Danio rerio: one gene and its partner. The protein of the gene in region 1 purifies or fractionates together with the protein of each later gene. This does not show direct contact. Links are inferred from orthologs where the notes say so. Each region holds a gene or a part of one and is shown on either strand. Other genes may lie near its edges.

What was found.
Region 2: the proteins of eif2b3 (region 1) and eif2b1 purify together in Homo sapiens (affinity purification with mass spectrometry; 7 studies listed by BioGRID and IntAct, counting the BioPlex papers as one, with this or other methods). This does not show direct contact. The link is inferred for Danio rerio from reciprocal best matches to the Homo sapiens genes EIF2B3 and EIF2B1.

Annotation. Positions count from the first base shown.
Region 1 is NC_133177.1:37,038,956-37,048,818, forward strand, and holds the start of eif2b3 (translation initiation factor eIF2B subunit gamma), read right to left. Parts: upstream 6,073-9,863; 5' UTR 5,813-6,072; intron 5,565-5,812; 5' UTR 5,557-5,564; coding exon 5,409-5,556; intron 1-5,408. UniProt on the Homo sapiens protein: Acts as a component of the translation initiation factor 2B (eIF2B) complex, which catalyzes the exchange of GDP for GTP on the eukaryotic initiation factor 2 (eIF2) complex gamma subunit.
Region 2 is NC_133180.1:75,663,777-75,673,699, forward strand, and holds the start of eif2b1 (translation initiation factor eIF2B subunit alpha), read right to left. Parts: upstream 5,745-9,923; 5' UTR 5,458-5,744; coding exon 5,445-5,457; intron 4,528-5,444; coding exon 4,426-4,527; intron 699-4,425; coding exon 562-698; intron 239-561; coding exon 122-238; intron 1-121.

The DNA of each region.
Region 1 (9,863 bases):
AGGTCCATACTGTACTGCTGAGCAGGCAAAGGGCCATACCCACAAACTCCATACCAGCTGGATCGCATGGTTAGTCAATACGGCTAGGTGTGAACAATAAACATTTAATTATTATGAAGGCATTAAACACAGACACTCAAGACGGTACGCCTCCTGTACTGGCTCTCATATGTGCTCCATCAGTGAATTGAACACACAGGGTTTCAAACACCCTTATTTCAGTTATTTACAGTATGAATGAATAAGTTGTCCTGTGTGTGAAGTATTAAAACTGACACGTAAAAATAAAATGAAGGAACAATTTATCAATTCAAAGGAAAAATAAAGCATTCTTTAAACACATTTTAAAAAGAAAATCCAAAAGTAGATTATTTAATGTTTAATATGTTTATTTATTAATAATGTCAATGAAAATACATTTTAAATTGCACATTTTATTTACATTTAATTCAAATTGGTTTTATTTATTTTTTTATTATAAATCAGCATTTTTGGCAAAATGTCCTGCCATAAAAAGTCAAAATGACATATCTTTTAAACTTATAAATTAAAGTTAATTAAACAGGTAACACCATATTCATTTGTTTTATTTAAAATGTTGTTCATTTTATATTTGAATCATTACATTTAAATAACTTTAGTCCTTACTAGCTTTATTAAACAATATACTGCTCCATGCTATGCTGCCCCAAAATAAGGGTGGGCCTGCTGAAAGGCTCTTATTTCTTAGTTTGTGGGAAAAAAATGCTGGCTTAAAGAATAAGGCACTCTGCCATTAGTCCTCAAGTACTAGACTGAAGTCAATTTATTACAGTTGGAACGGGCCAGCATTAGTTGTCTGGGGTGCATTTGACTACTGCAATTGTGTAATTGTATATTATCATTCAGTGTCCTTCCAGCCTAAAAAAAGCTATGCTGAATATACCTTGGCTTTATTTAATTTGTCTTTTATCAGTTTAGTTGTACACAGTTTTTGTACATTTAAACACATGCAATAGTTACAAATGTTACTTCTGTAGAGTGACTACTGGTCAAAAGTTTGGGGTCAGTTTTTTTTTTTTTTTTTTTTTTTAAATAAAATTATTCTGTTCATCAAGGTGACATTTATTAAATCTAACGACAATTGTTAAATTGTAAAATACTTTATTAAATATTTATTTATTACTTATTGTATGTAGTAGGGTTGGGTCGATAGACGGTGCCTTCATCTATCCCGATGGCTGATAGACATCACGATGCTGAGCCGGCATTGCGATCCTCTGCTACGCCCCCGTCGCAGCAGCAACCCGCTCACAAAAAATACATATTTAGGCCCCGTTTATACTTATAATTCTTACTTTTAAAATGGCATTTTAGAACGAAAACAATCCACGTCCACACTAGCGTTTCACCTAGCTTTTCTGAACAGATCTCCCTATACCACTGAATGTGCACATACGTGACCACAAACACACGCACACTCTGGCATGAGCTGCAGTGTATGCGCAAGTCTAAGCTCCAGGCAGTCAAAGGGGGCTTTGAGCACAGAACCCCAGAAAGCAGTGCACGACAGACAGGTTATCAAGGATGTACTGCTGGATCGCGTCTCACTCTTAAACGTAATATTGAATTAATCTTGCCTCCATCTAACGACTCTTCAGTCTTTTAAATCTTTCAGGTAACGTGTCACAGCATCAGTACACTGCTTCAATCTTTCACTTTTACACTTGTACTTGGTAATTTTAGCGAAACCTCAGATACTGTTGGTTGGTTTCAGTTGGTTGTGCACCTTTTTTTACCAACCAAGTTTTTCAACCCCTTTATAATGCCAGAGTCCTGTGGAAAAAGTGATTGACAGGTGGTAATTTGTGTGTAATTTATCTTTATTTATTCATGATTTGGATATGAGTAAAAACAAAGACCATGCGGGTCAGGTAGTTGAAATGGTAGGCTACAAATAATTTATTTGTTATAAATTAATTAATTATTCATAAATACTCAATTCAGGGATGCCATCGTCCATTGCAATTTCACATTAGACATCGTATGATGCCAAATTGGTTAACATCGCCCAACAACGTTGTTGCTTTTATTACTATTACCATTAATAATAATAATAATAATAATAATAATAATAATAATAACAATAATTAATATTAGAGTGATTTCTAAAGGATCACGTGAGGGACTCTGAAGACTGGAGTAATGAAGCTAAAAATTCATCTTTAAATTCACTGGATTAAACTATTAAATAATTTTTTACTCTATTTGAACAGTTATTTTATACTGCAACAACATTTTGTCAATTGTACAATTTTTTACTGTATTTTTGATTAAACAAATGCAGCCTTGATGAGCAGGATAAGCTTTTTTTAAAACATTTAAAAATCATACTGATCCCAAAAGTTTGACGGGTAGTGTACATCCTTTTACTCAAAATTTGCAGTCAAAACTAGAAAGATCTAGTTCTAAAATCAAGCTCCTGTTTTCTGAAAAAAAAATAAAAAAGTCTTGACACTAAAACGGAGAAGCAGCATGTGTGCGGGTGGGTGTAACGTGGAAACCAAGCCATTTTAGTGAGCCAATTGTAAAAACTACCCTACCTTCCCTATTTAGGAAATAAGGACTTTATTAGTTCAATTTAAGCAGCCTGCACAAATTATTACCACCTGCAGATTAAATGTGTTGTAAGCAATTTTGTTGACTTATCGTCCACCACACACACCCACTCTCTAAGGGCCCACCTCCAATAATGTCATCCAATCCCTTGTCAGCAAATCCATTCAGAGCTATTTACAAGCAGAGCTTCCAATTGGCTATTAAACAATGAGTCAGCTAAATGAATGCTTTTTTTAGTTTTTTTTACAGAGTGCATGATATAACTGTGAGATCTGTTATGTAGACTGTTACATAAAATATTTCTCATGATCTCATCTTATTATCATTTAACTAGTGAAAGAAATTCTCAGAATAGCATTTTAATGTTGTTGATAAATTCTGGGTTTACTGAAGTGCATTTTCAGTCACCTTTAATGAAATATTGGCATAACTGTCTTTTTTAAGGTCTTTTGTACTATTGAACCTAGTGTCTGGAACAAAGAGAATTATTAATGTGCAAGTTTTGGAAAATTATACTGTTACAGTCTCTAAGTAAACTAACAGCGATAACCTGCAAATGATTATTAGATGGTTATTGTGTGTGTGTGTGTATATATTTATATATATATATATATATATATATATATATATATATATATATATATATATATATATATATATGTATATATATATTTATATATATATATATATATATATATATATATATATATATATATTTAATTCAAGGGCTGCACGATATTGGAAAAGGGCTATTGATGGTTATTGTGTGTGTGTGTGTGTGTGTGTGTGTGTGTATATATTTATATATATATATATATATATATATATATATATATATATATATATATATATATATATATATATATATATATATATATATATACATACATACATACATACATTTAATTCAAGGGCTGCACGATATTGGAAAAATTTTGCATTGCAAAAAAATTTTTATTCTACGATATATATTGCGATATGAATACAATTTCACTAGATGAGTAGAATAACTGTTTAGAAAGAATTTATAATTTCAGATTGATTGGGATAATTCTGTAGTAGAGTGCATAAAATATAAGAAACAATCTACAAGCATAGATAAATTCAAAAATCTAAATATGCTAATTAAATAAACTGAATTTTATTTTAAAAAGTTAAAATGTCATCAGGTATAAAATAATTGAATATTCAAATGTAAGATAATAGTGCAAAGTATTTATTTTACAAACAGTTCGATAAAATTAATCATTATTAATATTTGAGAGTTGCAAATGGTAAATATTCTCATGCCTTTAAAAGCCTCTGAAAGTCGTAGGCCTCAAAAAACACTTGCAATAAGCTACATTATAATCCAGACTCAACATTACACATACTTGCGATGTGACTTATGCGAATGATCACATTGCGATATTGATCCTGAAACTATATATTGTGCAGCCCTACTTAATTCGCATGAAAAAAAATACAATAATAAATATAACCTAAAAATATAAATATAAATAACCAAAAAACACACCATCACAAATGCAGCACTACTTAAAGCTAAACTTAAACCCCATTTACTTAGAATAGCATTTGATGTTCAGCAGTTTAAATTAGTATGATTGTTTTATTGACATCATTGCTTTGATTTTGTTCTTCGTCATTGTCTGTGTTTTAATGTGTAATTTAATTTTACTGGTGATTGTAGTAAGGTGATTGTTTGATTGAATTACAGATGAAACCTACTTTATAATAATAAAAATAAAAATAATCTCTCAATCTCAATTAACTGAACATTTTAACTCGATTTTTTGAACTCATAGTTCACTGACAGGTTTTGTACAGTAAATATGCTCACATTTTACAAGTGAGAGATTTTTGAATGAACGGTGCTTTACTTGATTAAGATATTTACTATCTATGATTATTTACTGAACATCAGTGTTGAACAACTGAAATTTTTTCAACTAAGCTTTTCACTCATCATAGCACACATACTGCTGATGATGTGACAGTAAAAGTGATTTGAAATTAAAACACACATTGCTTAAAACGAACAGTCACTATTTTCTTATAAAAAAGTGAAAACAAATAACTTGCACTTTTGAAAACAAAATCAATTATTTTCAATGTTTTAAAAAGAAAATAAGCAGAATCTCTTCAGAATGTAACAACTTTTGTATATCATGTTATTAATATTTTAAACTGTATTTCTTGAATCGTCTGTAAACAAATATTTTAATGTGAATAATAATTTTATTGTAATAGAAAATACGCTGTCTCAAGGCTTCTCTGATGCAGCTTCCAATCATCGTCAATGTAATGCAAATGTGCGATCTGTAGTTACATTTTTCGAGAGGTGCGCGAGTATTCGTCCACTTAAAAGCTGCTCCAGACCATACCCATGCGTTCAATGCAAAAGTATATATCAGGCTTAACAGAGTAGGCTAACGTGACTCCACACACTGTAGGGAAAGTAATTGAAAAAAATTGACAAGAAAAATTTTGATCGATTATAGGTTCTGAATGTCGATTTCTATTACTTTTCAATTAATCGCCCTGCTCTATAATAATTAAAGAGGATATTTGAATACCATTTGAACCCATACTGTATTACAGATGACCAAAAAATGCAGAGCATATCAGTCATATCCACCAACACAATCTTTATAGGCAGACCCTAATTACAAAATCTAAAATAACAATATGAAAAAGTGTGTGTTAAATGCCGAGTTTACTAGATAACGGTGTTGAATATTGTACACCTCATACACTCAGCAGGTGACACTTCTAATGAACTTTGTTATCTGATAAGACAGTAGGTTTACCTTCAAATCCCACTCTCTCCAGCAGGTTAAGGGGGTACCAGATGAGGGGTTTGTTGCCCACAGGAAGCAGAGGTTTGGGGGTGTTATAGGTGAGATCCATCATCCTGGAGCCTCCACCGGCTGCCATCAGCACCGCCTGTAGCTCCATCCCGAACACTTGCAGAACAAAACAACACGTTTAGTCCACAAACAACAACAACACTAACAACAAAACAATCCAGCAAAGTGACAGACGGAGTATTATGTTCAATATATGTATTTCCTTGTCATGTTTAAGACATTACGCCTGTCAGGACTCTCATTTCATCATCTACATTCGTCAGCTGAGCCGCACGATGAAACATAACTACTTCTGAAGCTACTATTTATCGACGAGTTCAGAAATACACACACAGTCGACTTACCTGTGTTTATTATCAAATGTTTATAATGTGTAAAGTATCGAGTCCGTGCACGTGAAAGCTGCAGCACTGTAGCAGACGTTCATATGGATCAGGCTTGCCTCGCCGTCTTCAAATAAGTTCTGTTAAAACCGAGAGTTTCTAACTAGATAAATGAAAAGTTTAATAACAAGTGAAAACTGTCACAATGTTTAATCTCTGGCTGTCTGCAAAAAAACTATCAAGATTTCTGTATAATGACATAAGACCGTTACTTTGAAATGCGTCGGACGGAAAACACGACTCTAACTTTGGTTCCGCAGAGAGAATTGGTTCCTCTGTGTGAAGCAGAAAGAGAAAGCCTGAGGATTTCGATGATAATTTCGATTATTACTTGTATTTATCTTGATTTGATGTAGTTTGGGTATATGTTTGTAATGAACTGGATACGTATTCTTCTATTGTTGTTATATAGATGATTCAGATTGTGAATGAGGCTATTTGTTTTCCATTTTTGTAATTTTTGCTTGTAAAGTTCAATTCACGTTTATTTATATAGAGCTTTTCATAATAATTATTGTTTCAAAGCAGCTATACAAATAGTTTACCTAGTCTAAACTTTGTAAAATTATTATGTAGCATATTATTGCCCAGCCCTCTTCTTTGTATTTAATATTCATGGTTTTCAAAAACATTGATAAGAATTTGACATGTTGAAATTTTAATAAATGTGTTAAATCGAGACAATACATTTATAATGTATTAGTCATGCTCATAAGTATTAATTTTCCAGAAAAAAATTTCATTTACTGGGCATTTTAGCAGGTTTATTAAAAATATGCGTTGAATGGGCATATTGAATTTTATGATAAAGTATTTAGTTGTTGCTTTTTTTCATTTTATACTATATCAAACTGGGAGACACGGTGGCTAAGTAATTAGCACTGTCGCTTCACAGCAAGAAGGTCACTGGTTTAAGCCCTGGCTGGGTCATTTGGCATTTCTGTGTGGAGTTGGCATGTTCTCCCCGTGTTGGCGTGGGTTTCCTCCCAGTGCTCCAGTTTCCCCCTCAGTCCAAAGAAATACGCTATAGGTGAATTGAATAAACTAAATTGGCTGTAGTGTATGCATGTGAATGGATGTTTCCCCGTGATGGGTTGCAGCTGGAAGGGCACCTGCTGTGTAAAACATAAGCTAGACAAGTTGGCGGTTCATTCTGCTGTAGCGACCCCTGATGAATAAGGGGAATAAACAAAAAAAAATGAATGAATGAATGAATGAATGAATGAATGAATGAATGAATGACGATAACAAACACTATGGTATACTTTTTTTTTTAATTAATATAACAAGATAGTTAAATATGATTTATTCTTCCTTCATGTTTTGTTTTATTTTAAAAATACTTTTGCATAAAATACCCAGATATTTTTTTTTAATAGTTTTATATATCATAGGTGTCCCACATTAGGCAATGTCCAACTTTAGGCTCACCCTATTATGTTTAACCCTTTAACTGCCCCACCAAGAAAAACATTTTTGGATAGCATTTCTTAACTACTAATGTCTCTAGTTAAAACACTCAATGCATTTTTTCAACACGTTCCATAATTAAAAAAAAAAAGTCAACCTCTACCAAATAGTAGACATGTCGGTTTATGGTAAATGAAAATCTGAATGAAAAATCTGAATATATGAATTGTAAAAGACAATTTTTTTCAAAACATAATCAAAATAAAACTATTTTAATACTAAATCATCTTTATTTTTTGAAGTCTGCCATAAAATATTTTAGATTTTTAATTTTCATTTGACTATAGTTTGACAGTCAAACTATCAAACTATGTGCACACCTTTTTGACTGTGTACTTGTCTATGTGGCTCTTTCTTAACCTACTGTCAATCATGTATTTATTGTCTTTTACATATTACTGTCAACATTGCTAATAGTATATTGTTTTATTTTGGGTCTGGGTCTTGAGCCAGCACCTAAGCTTTTCACTCATCATAGTGCACTTGCGGATGTGACAGTAAAAGTGATTTAATTTGATTTGATTTAAAACATTTTCTTGTTTTTTTGTTTGTTTGTTTTTACAATAAAATCAAAATCAAGTGTAGTAGTCGGCATAATAGCCTAGTGGTTAGAGTGTCGACATATGGTGCAGTAGCATATCAGGGCGTCCTGAGTTTGAATCCCAGCTCGAGGACATTTCCCTACCCTAACCCCCCTCTCTCTCTCTCCAACTTTGCTTCCTGTCTCAATACTGTCCTATCTAATAAAGGCAAAAAGGCCAATACATCTTTAAAAAAAATAAATAAATAAATCAAGTGAAGTAGTGCAACAGGATTATGTGTGTTTGATTTTTTTTGTAAACCGACAATGCTGTGTATGTAAACCATCATTTAAAAGAGTCAAAATATGGTCAATAGTTTGGTAGAGCAGGCAGGTAATATAAAAGAAAATGATATCAATACAACAAAAGATTATGTCATAAACACTGCTTTTAACAACTCGTTTTCCATCTTCGTAGCATCCAACACTCCTAAAAAAATAAAATAATCATAATAAATTGTGGTAATGCGGTATTACTTGCCACTGTCATAAAAAAATCAATGTCATAAACTGACAGAAACAATACCGAATGTTGAAACATCCAATTTTTATTATGGTTTTATTACAGTAATAACAGCTGTACCTAGTAACTATTTAGGAACGTTTACTGTAGCACATTTTTATAATAGCTTTTTGCTTCCCACATCAACAAAGCTCCCTTGTCCTAAAGTTCACAGAGAACTAAACGTCCAGTTTCACAGTCAGAATGTAAAGTCTTCTCTTCTCTCCACCCAGATCCCCTCAGTCAACAGGCATGGCCCAAACCCCAATTCACAGACCTCCGATGTAACAGCAAATTGAACTCTGGGAATGTGGCTTAGCTTTGTTTTCTCTGGACAGGAGATGAGCTTCATTGGTCGCTGCCTGCAGAAGAAACATTGGAATAACAGGGCAGGCTGCCTCCTTTAGAAAAAAAATAAAAAGCAGAAAGAAAAGTTAAAGCTAAAGAAATATTGGTGTTAAAGCTTAGAGTGTTTGTGTGATAAACTCACACCTTTGCTATGTTTCCTAACAGTTACTGTTGGTGATTCACAGTGCACAAAACTCTGGCCACCTTATCTTTTCTTCTTTTGTAAAGTGAATCTCTTGTTTTTTTAAAGGATAACCCGAGAAATCTCATATGGATTACATGACCCTGGTTTAACATCTGGTGTGCTGCCTGAACGGACCGCTGCAATTTCTGTGGGGTCACGTTAAATGATCACAAACAGAGTGCAAAAACAAGCATTCTCATTTACATTTTTATGTCCAGCTAAGCAAGCAAATCTGCTTTTGGTTTGGGCTGTGGGAGGGAAATGATACGAAATGTTGGTGATGTGCATCATTGAAAGTAGATTGGTTGAAACAGATGTGTGCACTGCAAAACAAGCCTAAACATTCAATCAAACACTGTTGTATATCTAATTCTGCGGAAGGAGATGTTGAGATGTTGTTCTGCATGTGGAATCTGTAACATACATTCTAAAAAATGTTGGGTTGTAGTAATTCAGTCAGTGTTGGGTCAAATGTGGATTTATGGGTTCAGCTGGGTCAGTTGGCATTTCTGTGTGGAGTTTGTATGTTCTCCCGTGTTCCCACGGGTTTCCTCCGGGTTCTCCGGTTTCTCCTACAGTCCAAAGACATGCACTATATAGGTCAATTGGGTTGTCTGTTGTCTGTGTATGTGCGTGAATGAGTGTTTATGAGTGCTTCCCTCTGTTGGGTTGCAGCTGGAAGGGCATCCGCTGCCTAAAACATATGCTGGATAAGTTGGTGGTTCATTCTGCTGTGGTGACCCCTGATGAATAAGGGGATTAAGCCAAAAAGAAAATGAATGAATGAATGAAAGTGTTTCTTGTTTATCAATGAACCACCAACTATTCCAGCATATGTTTTACACAGGAAGACTTTCCAGCCACAACCAGTACTGGGAAACACCCATACATTTATTCATTTACACACGTCACATGCACTCATAGACTA
Region 2 (9,923 bases), on another chromosome or scaffold:
ACCTTAATGCAGATTTTCAAACAATCGTGTCTCTATGCTAACAAACGATTTCCTTAAAGGTCACATTTGAGCAATATAATGCTAAAGCAACACGCCATTTCGTCTTTAGCGGACTACTTACAGCGCCGTCTTTGATGAAGGTGTGGCACAGTTTACCCACTTTCCCCCTGGAGAGGGAGATTTTCTTCAGGAAGAGTTCACCTCGCTCGATCATCACATTCTTACACTGGGAGAGATCCTGGTGAACAGAAAACAAAGACAGTACAAGAGGAATCACGGAAATGATCCGTAAATCATATTGAAGTAAGGGATAATGTACATCCAGCCGGATGTTCTCGCAGATTAAAGCCAGACAGGTTTATCAGCAGCTGGTGTATAGTTATTTATTCTGTGGTGTACAACTGGCTGGATGTACATTATCCTGCACATTGTTAAAAATGTCGGTGATATTTAGGAACAGTAAAAATGCAATGCTGAAATTCTGTAAGCTAGTTAGAAGTACAGTTTTTTCTACATAAAAACAGAACAGATCTGCTAGATGGAGTGAAATGCTGAACTGACCGGATGTTCCAGTGATGTGAGACTGATGAAGCGCAGGAATAGTTCTCCGCCAGATGACACGGCGACGGATGAATCGGCCTCCTGCAGCCTGTGAATGGCCTGAGTCATGTTCTCTCTCAGGCCCAGAATCGTTTCACCTGCAGGAGGACAAGCATCGGTTTACATCAAACATCGGTTCATATCGTTTCACATCCTCATCAAGCATCCTCTCATATCTATATCATGTATCGGTTCACATTAGTTCACATCAGTAAACATCAAGAATCGATTCACATCCAAATCAAGCATAGGTTCACATGGTTTCAAATCCATATCAAGTTTCGGTTCAAATTAGTTCACATCCAAATCAAGCATCGGTTCAAATTAGTTCACATCCAAATCAAGCATCGGTTCACATTAGTTACCATCCACATCAAGCATCGGTTCACACTAGTTCACATCCAAATCAAGCATCGGTTCACATTAGTTCCCATCCACATCAAGCATCAGTTCACACTAGTTCACATTCAAATCAAGAAACGGTTCACATTAGTTCACATAATTTCACAACCTTATCAAGCATCAGTTCCCATCTACATAAAGTATCGATTCACATTAGTTCCCATCCACATCAAGCATCGGTTCACACTAGTTCACATCCAAATCAAGCATCGGTTCACACTAGTTCACATCCAAATCAAGCATCGGTTCACACTAGTTCACATCCAAATCAAGCATCGGTTCACATTAGTTCCCATCTACATCAAGCATCAGTTCGCACTAGTTCACATTTAAATCAAGAAACGGTTCACATTAGTTCACATAATTTCACAACCTTATCAAGCATCAGTTCCCATCTACATAAAGTATCGATTCACATTAGTTCCCATCCACATCAAGCATCGGTTCACACTAGTTCACATCATTTCACATTCACATCAAGAATCTGTTCACATCTATATCAATTATATCTTCACATTAGTTTATATCCACATCAAGCATCAGTTCACACCCACATCAGGAGTCGGTTCACATGCACATCAAGCATCGGTTTACAATCACATCTATGTCAAGTATTAGTTCACATTAGTTCACATCTAAATCAAGCATCAGTTCACAGTAGTTCACATCAAGCATAGGCTCACACCCACATTGATCCACATCTATATTATCCAGTTTCAGTTCACATTAGTTCACATCCACATCAAGCATGGGTTCACACTAGTTCACATCCAAATCAAGCATCGATTCACATTAGTTCCCATCCACATCAAGCATCGGTTCACACTAGTTCACATCCAAATCAAGCATCGGTTCACATTAGTTCCCATCTACATCAAGCATCAGTTCACATTAGTTCACATCCAAATCAAGCATCGATTCACATTAGTTCCCATCCACATCAAGCATCGGTTCACACTAGTTCACATCCAAATCAAGCATCGGTTCACACTAGTTCACATCCAAATCAAGCATCGGTTCACACTAGTTCACATCCAAATCAAGCATCGGTTCACATTAGTTCCCATCTACATCAAGCATCAGTTCGCACTAGTTCACATTTAAATCAAGAAACGGTTCACATTAGTTCACATAATTTCACAACCTTATCAAGCATCAGTTCCCATCTACATAAAGTATCGATTCACATTAGTTCCCATCCACATCAAGCATCGGTTCACACTAGTTCACATCATTTCACATTCACATCAAGAATCTGTTCACATCTATATCAATTATATCTTCACATTAGTTTATATCCACATCAAGCATCAGTTCACACCCACATCAGGAGTCGGTTCACATGCACATCAAGCATCGGTTTACAATCACATCTATGTCAAGTATTAGTTCACATTAGTTCACATCTAAATCAAGCATCAGTTCACAGTAGTTCACATCAAGCATAGGCTCACACCCACATTGATCCACATCTATATTATCCAGTTTCAGTTCACATTAGTTCACATCCACATCAAGCATGGGTTCACACTAGTTCACATCCAAATCAAGCATCGATTCACATTAGTTCCCATCCACATCAAGCATCGGTTCACACTAGTTCACATCCAAATCAAGCATCGGTTCACATTAGTTCCCATCTACATCAAGCATCAGTTCACATTAGTTCACATCCAAATCAAGCATCGATTCACATTAGTTCCCATCCACATCAAGCATCGGTTCACACTAGTTCACATCCAAATCAAGCATCGGTTCACACTAGTTCACATCCAAATCAAGCATCGGTTCACACTAGTTCACATCCAAATCAAGCATCGGTTCACATTAGTTCCCATCTACATCAAGCATCAGTTCGCACTAGTTCACATTTAAATCAAGAAACGGTTCACATTAGTTCACATAATTTCACAACCTTATCAAGCATCAGTTCCCATCTACATAAAGTATCGATTCACATTAGTTCCCATCCACATCAAGCATCGGTTCACACTAGTTCACATCATTTCACATTCACATCAAGAATCTGTTCACATCTATATCAATTATATCTTCACATTAGTTTATATCCACATCAAGCATCAGTTCACACCCACATCAGGAGTCGGTTCACATGCACATCAAGCATCGGTTTACAATCACATCTATGTCAAGTATTAGTTCACATTAGTTCACATCTAAATCAAGCATCAGTTCACAGTAGTTCACATCAAGCATAGGCTCACACCCACATTGATCCACATCTATATTATCCAGTTTCAGTTCACATTAGTTCACATCCACATCAAGCATGGGTTCACACTAGTTCACATCCAAATCAAGCATCGATTCACATTAGTTCCCATCCACATCAAGCATCGGTTCACACTAGTTCACATCCAAATCAAGCATCGGTTCACATTAGTTCCCATCTACATCAAGCATCAGTTCACATTAGTTCACATCCAAATCAAGCATCGATTCACATTAGTTCCCATCCACATCAAGCATCGGTTCACACTAGTTCACATCCAAATCAAGCATCGGTTCACACTAGTTCACATCCAAATCAAGCATCGGTTCACATTAGTTCCCATCTACATCAAGCATCAGTTCGCACTAGTTCACATTTAAATCAAGAAACGGTTCACATTAGTTCACATAATTTCACAACCTTATCAAGCATCAGTTCCCATCTACATAAAGTATCGATTCACATTAGTTCCCATCCACATCAAGCATCGGTTCACACTAGTTCACATCCAAATCAAGCATAGGTTCAAACTAGTTCACATCATTTCACATTCACATCAAGAATCTGTTCACATCTATATCAATTATATCTTCACATTAGTTTATATCCACATCAAGCATCAGTTCACACCCACATCAGGAGTCGGTTCACATGCACATCAAGCATCGGTTTACAATCACATCTATGTCAAGTATTAGTTCACATTTGTTCACATCTAAATCAAGCATCGGTTCACACCCACATTGATCCACATCTATATTATCCAGTTTCAGTTCACATTAGTTCACATCCACATCAAGCATGGGTTCATATCTATATCAGGTATCGGTTCACACCCTCATGAGTTCACTTCTATATCAAGTATCAATTCTCATTAGTTCACATCCACATCAACCATCGGTTCACATCAGTTGACTTCCACATCAAGAACCAGTTCACATTCAAATTAAGTATCAGTTCACATTAGTTCACATCCACATCAACCATCGCTTCACATCAGTTGACATCCACAACAAGAACCAGTTCACATTAGTTCACATCCATATCAAGTATCGGTTCACATTAGTTCATATCCAAATAAAGCATCAATTCACATCAGTTGACATCCACATCAAGCATCGGTTCACATCTATTTCAAGCATCAGTTCACATCCACATCCCAAGCCGAAAATCAAACAGCACAAACTCACTCTGATCCCTCTTCAGGAACTCAAGCAGTGATCGAATCGCAGCCACCGCTGAAGCCACATCTGGATCTTCCCTGATCTGCCCACGGAAATACTCCACCAGTTCTGGAAGAGAGAAATACATATTCAAATAAATTACTGACTTCCACTGTTGAATTGTTTTAATTCCCAATCTGAAAATATCAGGGTATAAATGTAAACGTTTTGCATTTTTGTCTTTGTAATTCTGTACCTTCGCTGTTGAATTGTTTGGTGAAAGTAAGCTGTGTTGGGTAAGAAAAGTACTTAACTTCAAATTACCTAACTGAAATTGTATTTAAACTTCTGCTGGATAACAATACAGTATAAAACTAAACTCATATAAAGTGTAAAATATATTTTAGATAATTATGTTTATAATTATGTTTATAGTCTTTAGTACTAGCCGATGAATTAATTAATAATAAACTGAACCTTTTGGTAAAATGTTAGACTTACAGTATAGTATAGTAAAGCTATTCATAATTTTGACCACAAATAACTACAATTACCAACAATTTAACAACATTGAAACATTTAACAACATTTAACAATTACTCAGACATTAAATAGCGAGTGAACAAAAAAGTCAAACCCTAAAATTAATAAAGAACAGCTTTTATAACACACACTATGAGCAGCTATAATCATCTGTGTAAACATCATGACTCTTGCACCTTTAAATAATTAAATAAATGAAATATTATTAATCTCCTGATCAACAAAGTCTTTAGATGTTCCCATAATGCATTAGCTATACATATATACACGTGGAATCACGAAATGTTCTCAATTATTATTGATATTATGTGTGTCAATCAAACAGGTCGAAAACAAGCACAAATGCCTTGCGTTACCAACCAACATATCAACATAATTGATCATAATATAATTCAAAATGTAATATAAGATGCTCAGGAAAGCAAAGCAGCTACGCAAATAACTCAGAATCATCTCTGAATAATTATTAAGTGTGTTCTGTCTTGTGTTGTTGTCAAACTCACCTCTTTCCTCCATTTTAAAAGCACTTTCTCTCTCAGAGATCTGTCAAGTTTTGAGTTTCACGAGCTAATAATGATAGTGTCGCTGATGCAACGATCTGTCATGACGCTCTCTGACATCCAGTACGACGAATTGTTTAAAGTTTGTCTACAAAGTAATGCTTGCTTTACCCATTTATTTCATACGATCCCTTTCAGAAACTGAATAACATCTATTCTTCTAGTGTATTTCAAATGAAAGGCTATTTACAGTGAACAAGTGGACATGCTCACTTTCTTCTTCTTCGTTGTTTTATGTCGAGTGAACAGTCGCTTCATGTAGCGCCGCTGCTGGACAGCAGAAAAACAGCAGGATCATTTGTTTAATTCTCTACTACAGGGTTATTCAAACTGTATAATAACACAATTAAAATAATTATCAATCGAATCGAATATTTTTAAAAATATTATTACGGCATATAAATAAATTAGTACAAAAAAGAACTAAAATTAATTTATATTAATAATTGTTGTGTGTATAAGGAATAAATTTAGTACTTTAATGAGTAGGAAATACATTAATTAACGTAACTTAATAGAACACAATACGGAATGCATAATAATATACTGCTAATGATATATATATATTTTTTCAAAGTAAAATAATAAAATTAAATGTTATAAGTATAGACATATACAAACTGTGAGCTTGTAGAGTTTAATTTCGGTGCCTGAAAAAAAAAGTTTAGTTGTCTCTGCAAGATAAATAAATATAAAATATAATATTGCATATGGAATGCCGGAGGATAGTGAGTAAAATAAAACAAAATAATAATAAAATAAAATAATAATATTAATAATAATATAAAAAAAGAGTGATAAAATAAAATAAAATTAAATAAAATTAAATAAAATTAAATAAAATTAAATTAAAATAATGTAAAATTAAATAAAATAAAACAATAAAATAAGATAAAAAGTAAAAGGAAATAAAATAAAATAATAAAATAAGATAAAAAAGTTAAATAAAATAAAATAAAGTAAAGTAAAAAAAATGAAAAATAAAAAATAATAGTAAAATAAGATAGGATAAGATAAGATTAGTTAAAATAAAAAAATGAATTGAAATGAGATAAATAAAATAAAACAAAAATAAAAAAATTAAAAAAATAAAATCAAAGAAAATAAATCTAAACTAAACTAAATATTGTGATTAGAAGGCCGAAGGATTGTAAATAAAATAAATAAAAATAAAAATAAGAAAACAAAAATAAATAAAACAAAAATAAAATAAAAAATAAATAAAATACAGTAAAAAAAATATAAAAATAAAACAAAAATAAAATAAAACGAAATAAAATAAAGAAGGAAAATTAAAAAATGATATTTTTTTTCCTGCACCAGTACAGCAGGTGGCGCTACACTGAGTTCAATCTCTCCATTAAATAAACAGAAGAAGATTTAAGCATGAGTCCAAACAGCACAACTTTCAACATATTGAAGAAAACAGCAAAGAAATACAGTTTTATATCAATTTAGAGACGCCGGAATTGCAGCAATGGCTTCGGGTTTGTAAATCACACAAACACCATTAATGAAACGTTTAACGGTTTTTCGATCTCTCGGGTTTCTCTTTGTGTAGGAAGAAGATGAAGATGCTTCAACAATAAACATACAAAAGATGATGATGATAATAATAATAGCGCTTGCTGATGTTTTGCAGACGATGATATTAATATTCTGGTCATAGTGCTGGATGTGAATCCTGTGTGGTGGGGTCAGCAGGCGCAGCGGGAGCCAAAGGTCAGTTTAATATTAATTCATTAATATTTAAATTTATTTTAGGTAAAGTCTATAAGAGATACAGCTGCGTTTACTCCCGTCATTATACACTCACCGGCCACTTTATTAGGTACACCTGTCCAGCTACTCATTAACGCAAATTTCTTATCAGCCAATCACAGGGCAGCAACTCAATGCATTTAGGCTTCAAGACATGCTCAGGACGATCTGCTGCAGTTCAAAGCGAGCATCAGAAAGGGGATTTAAGTGACTTTGAATGTGGCATGATTGTTGGTGCCAGACAGGCTGGTCTGAGTGTTTCAGAAACTGCTGATCTACTGGGATTTTCACGCACAACCATCTCTAGGGTTCACAGAGAATGGTCTGAACAAGAGAAAATATGCAGTGAGCGGCAGTTCTGTTGGCACAAATGCCTTTTTGATGCCAGAGGAGAATGGCCAAACTGGTTCCAGCTGATAGAAAGGCAACAGTAACTCAAATAATCACCCGAGGTCTGCAGAAGAGCATCTCTGAACACACTACACGTCCAACCTTGAGGCGGATGGGCTACAGCAGCAGAAGACCACACCGGGTGCCGCTCCTGTCAGCTAAGAGCAGGAAACTGAGGCTACAATTCACACAGACTCACCAAAACTGGACAATAGAAGATTGGAGAACCATTGCCTGCTCTGATGAGTCTCCATTTCTGCTGACACATTCAGATGTTCGGGTCAGAATTTAGAGTCAACAACATGAAATCATGAATCCATCCTGCCCTGTATCAATGGTTCAGGCTTGTGGTGGCGGTGTAATGGTGTGGGAGAGATTTTCTTAGAACACTTTGGGTCCATTAGTACCAATTGAGCATGGTGTCAACACCACAGCCTACCTGAGTATTGTAGCCTACCATGTCCATCCCTTTATGATCACAGTGTCTCCATCTTCTGATGGCTACTTCCAGCAGGTTAAGGCACCATGTCATAAAGCGTGAATCATCTCAGACTGGTTTCATGAACATGACAATGAGTTCACTGTACTCAAATGGCCTCCACAGTCACCAGAGCTCAATCCAATAGAGCACCTTTGGGATGTGGTGGAGCAGGAGATTGGCATCATGGATGTGCAGCCGACAAATCTGCAGCAACTGCGTGATGCTATCATGTCAATATGGAGCAAAATCTCTGAGGAATATTTCCAGTAGCGTGTTGAATCTATACCATGAAGGATTAAGGCAGTTCTGAGGGCAAAAGGGGTCCAACCTGGTACTAGTAAGATGTACCTAATAAAGTGGCCGGTGAGTGTACTGTTGTACAACAGTAATGAATACTTTTCAGGTAGTTTTAGTGTTGGGGTGAGGAGGATGTTGATACATAAGTAACATGAATAATATTCTGTATAATTACGGTGTTTACATTACTGTGTGGGTTGGGGTTTAAGTAGATGTTAATAAAATACAATTGATAGGTCATTATTACATAAATAATATAATAAATTCTCATTTAAACTTCTGGCCGCAGCTGTTTCCCTTCTAGCAGCAACTGTTTATTCACTATAATCCACCATGTTTGCACTATTATCGCTATTACCAATACAGGTGAACAAATAACTTGTTATTTATTTTCCTTCAGTTCACCCTTTCAGCATGTTTGGACAGTTTGATGGTCCTGGCAAATGCTCATTTGGTCATGTCAAGGACCAACAAACTAGCCGTCATCGCCAGCCTGTATCACGAAAGGTAAACATAGACAATTAATTTTATATATCAGGCATATTATCAGTCCAGGGGTTCGTTCTTCGTACGTGGATTACTCAATTAGCTGGATTTGGGTATTGACGATTTGACACGATCCAGGATCGTTTCGTTCTTCAATACTGACCTGAGAGTTGTTGTCATAGCAACAGTTCTGATAGCTCAAACCTGCATCGGTGCAGGTTCAATTAATATAAACAGGATTAGCAAAGCAAACAAGCAAAGGTAATACTGAAAGTATGTACTGAATGCTGATAATTTCTTACAGTAGATATATACACTTGGGAAAATAGTAAACATGTATTTTTTAACTATAAGTAAAAAATATATATATTTTAATAAAACAATGTAATCTGCACTCCGAAATAAAAGTACAAAGAGAAAAATTTATTGATATGATCTTTTTAGTTACAAACGCGTACACGCACAATATTCAACTTTAAAAAAACAAGGATAATAATTTATGCAGTCATGGAGGTGTTTGACCGCTAATATGCCGCTGATTTGATGTTTCGCAAAAGTTGCCTGCACCTTTACCGATATCAAAATGTTTTTTTGATGCAAAATTAATTTATACAGTTATTTGCCTGCGCCGATTAAAAAAACTTGAGTAGGCCTATAGGCTACTATAATGAAGAAAATCTTCTCTAAATGTAGAACTAAATACATTGATATGATGAATACTCTTGACACATGAAAGAGTAAAGCCTGCAGTCCACAACAAATGTGGAAAGTTGATGCGTGTCATATTTATCAAACCGTTTACTGCTAATTTGATGTCATTTTGCTCACATGGATAATCAAATATAAATCGGATGATGTCATTACGCTGCTGTGCCATCAGCCAATCGTTGCTTTGCTGATCATGATTTCGAGGATACATAGATCTGTCCTTCACAACACATGCAGCGATCTCAGATCAGTTTATCCAGACATTCTAATCTGATTCGCGAACTTGTTTGAAGAACCAA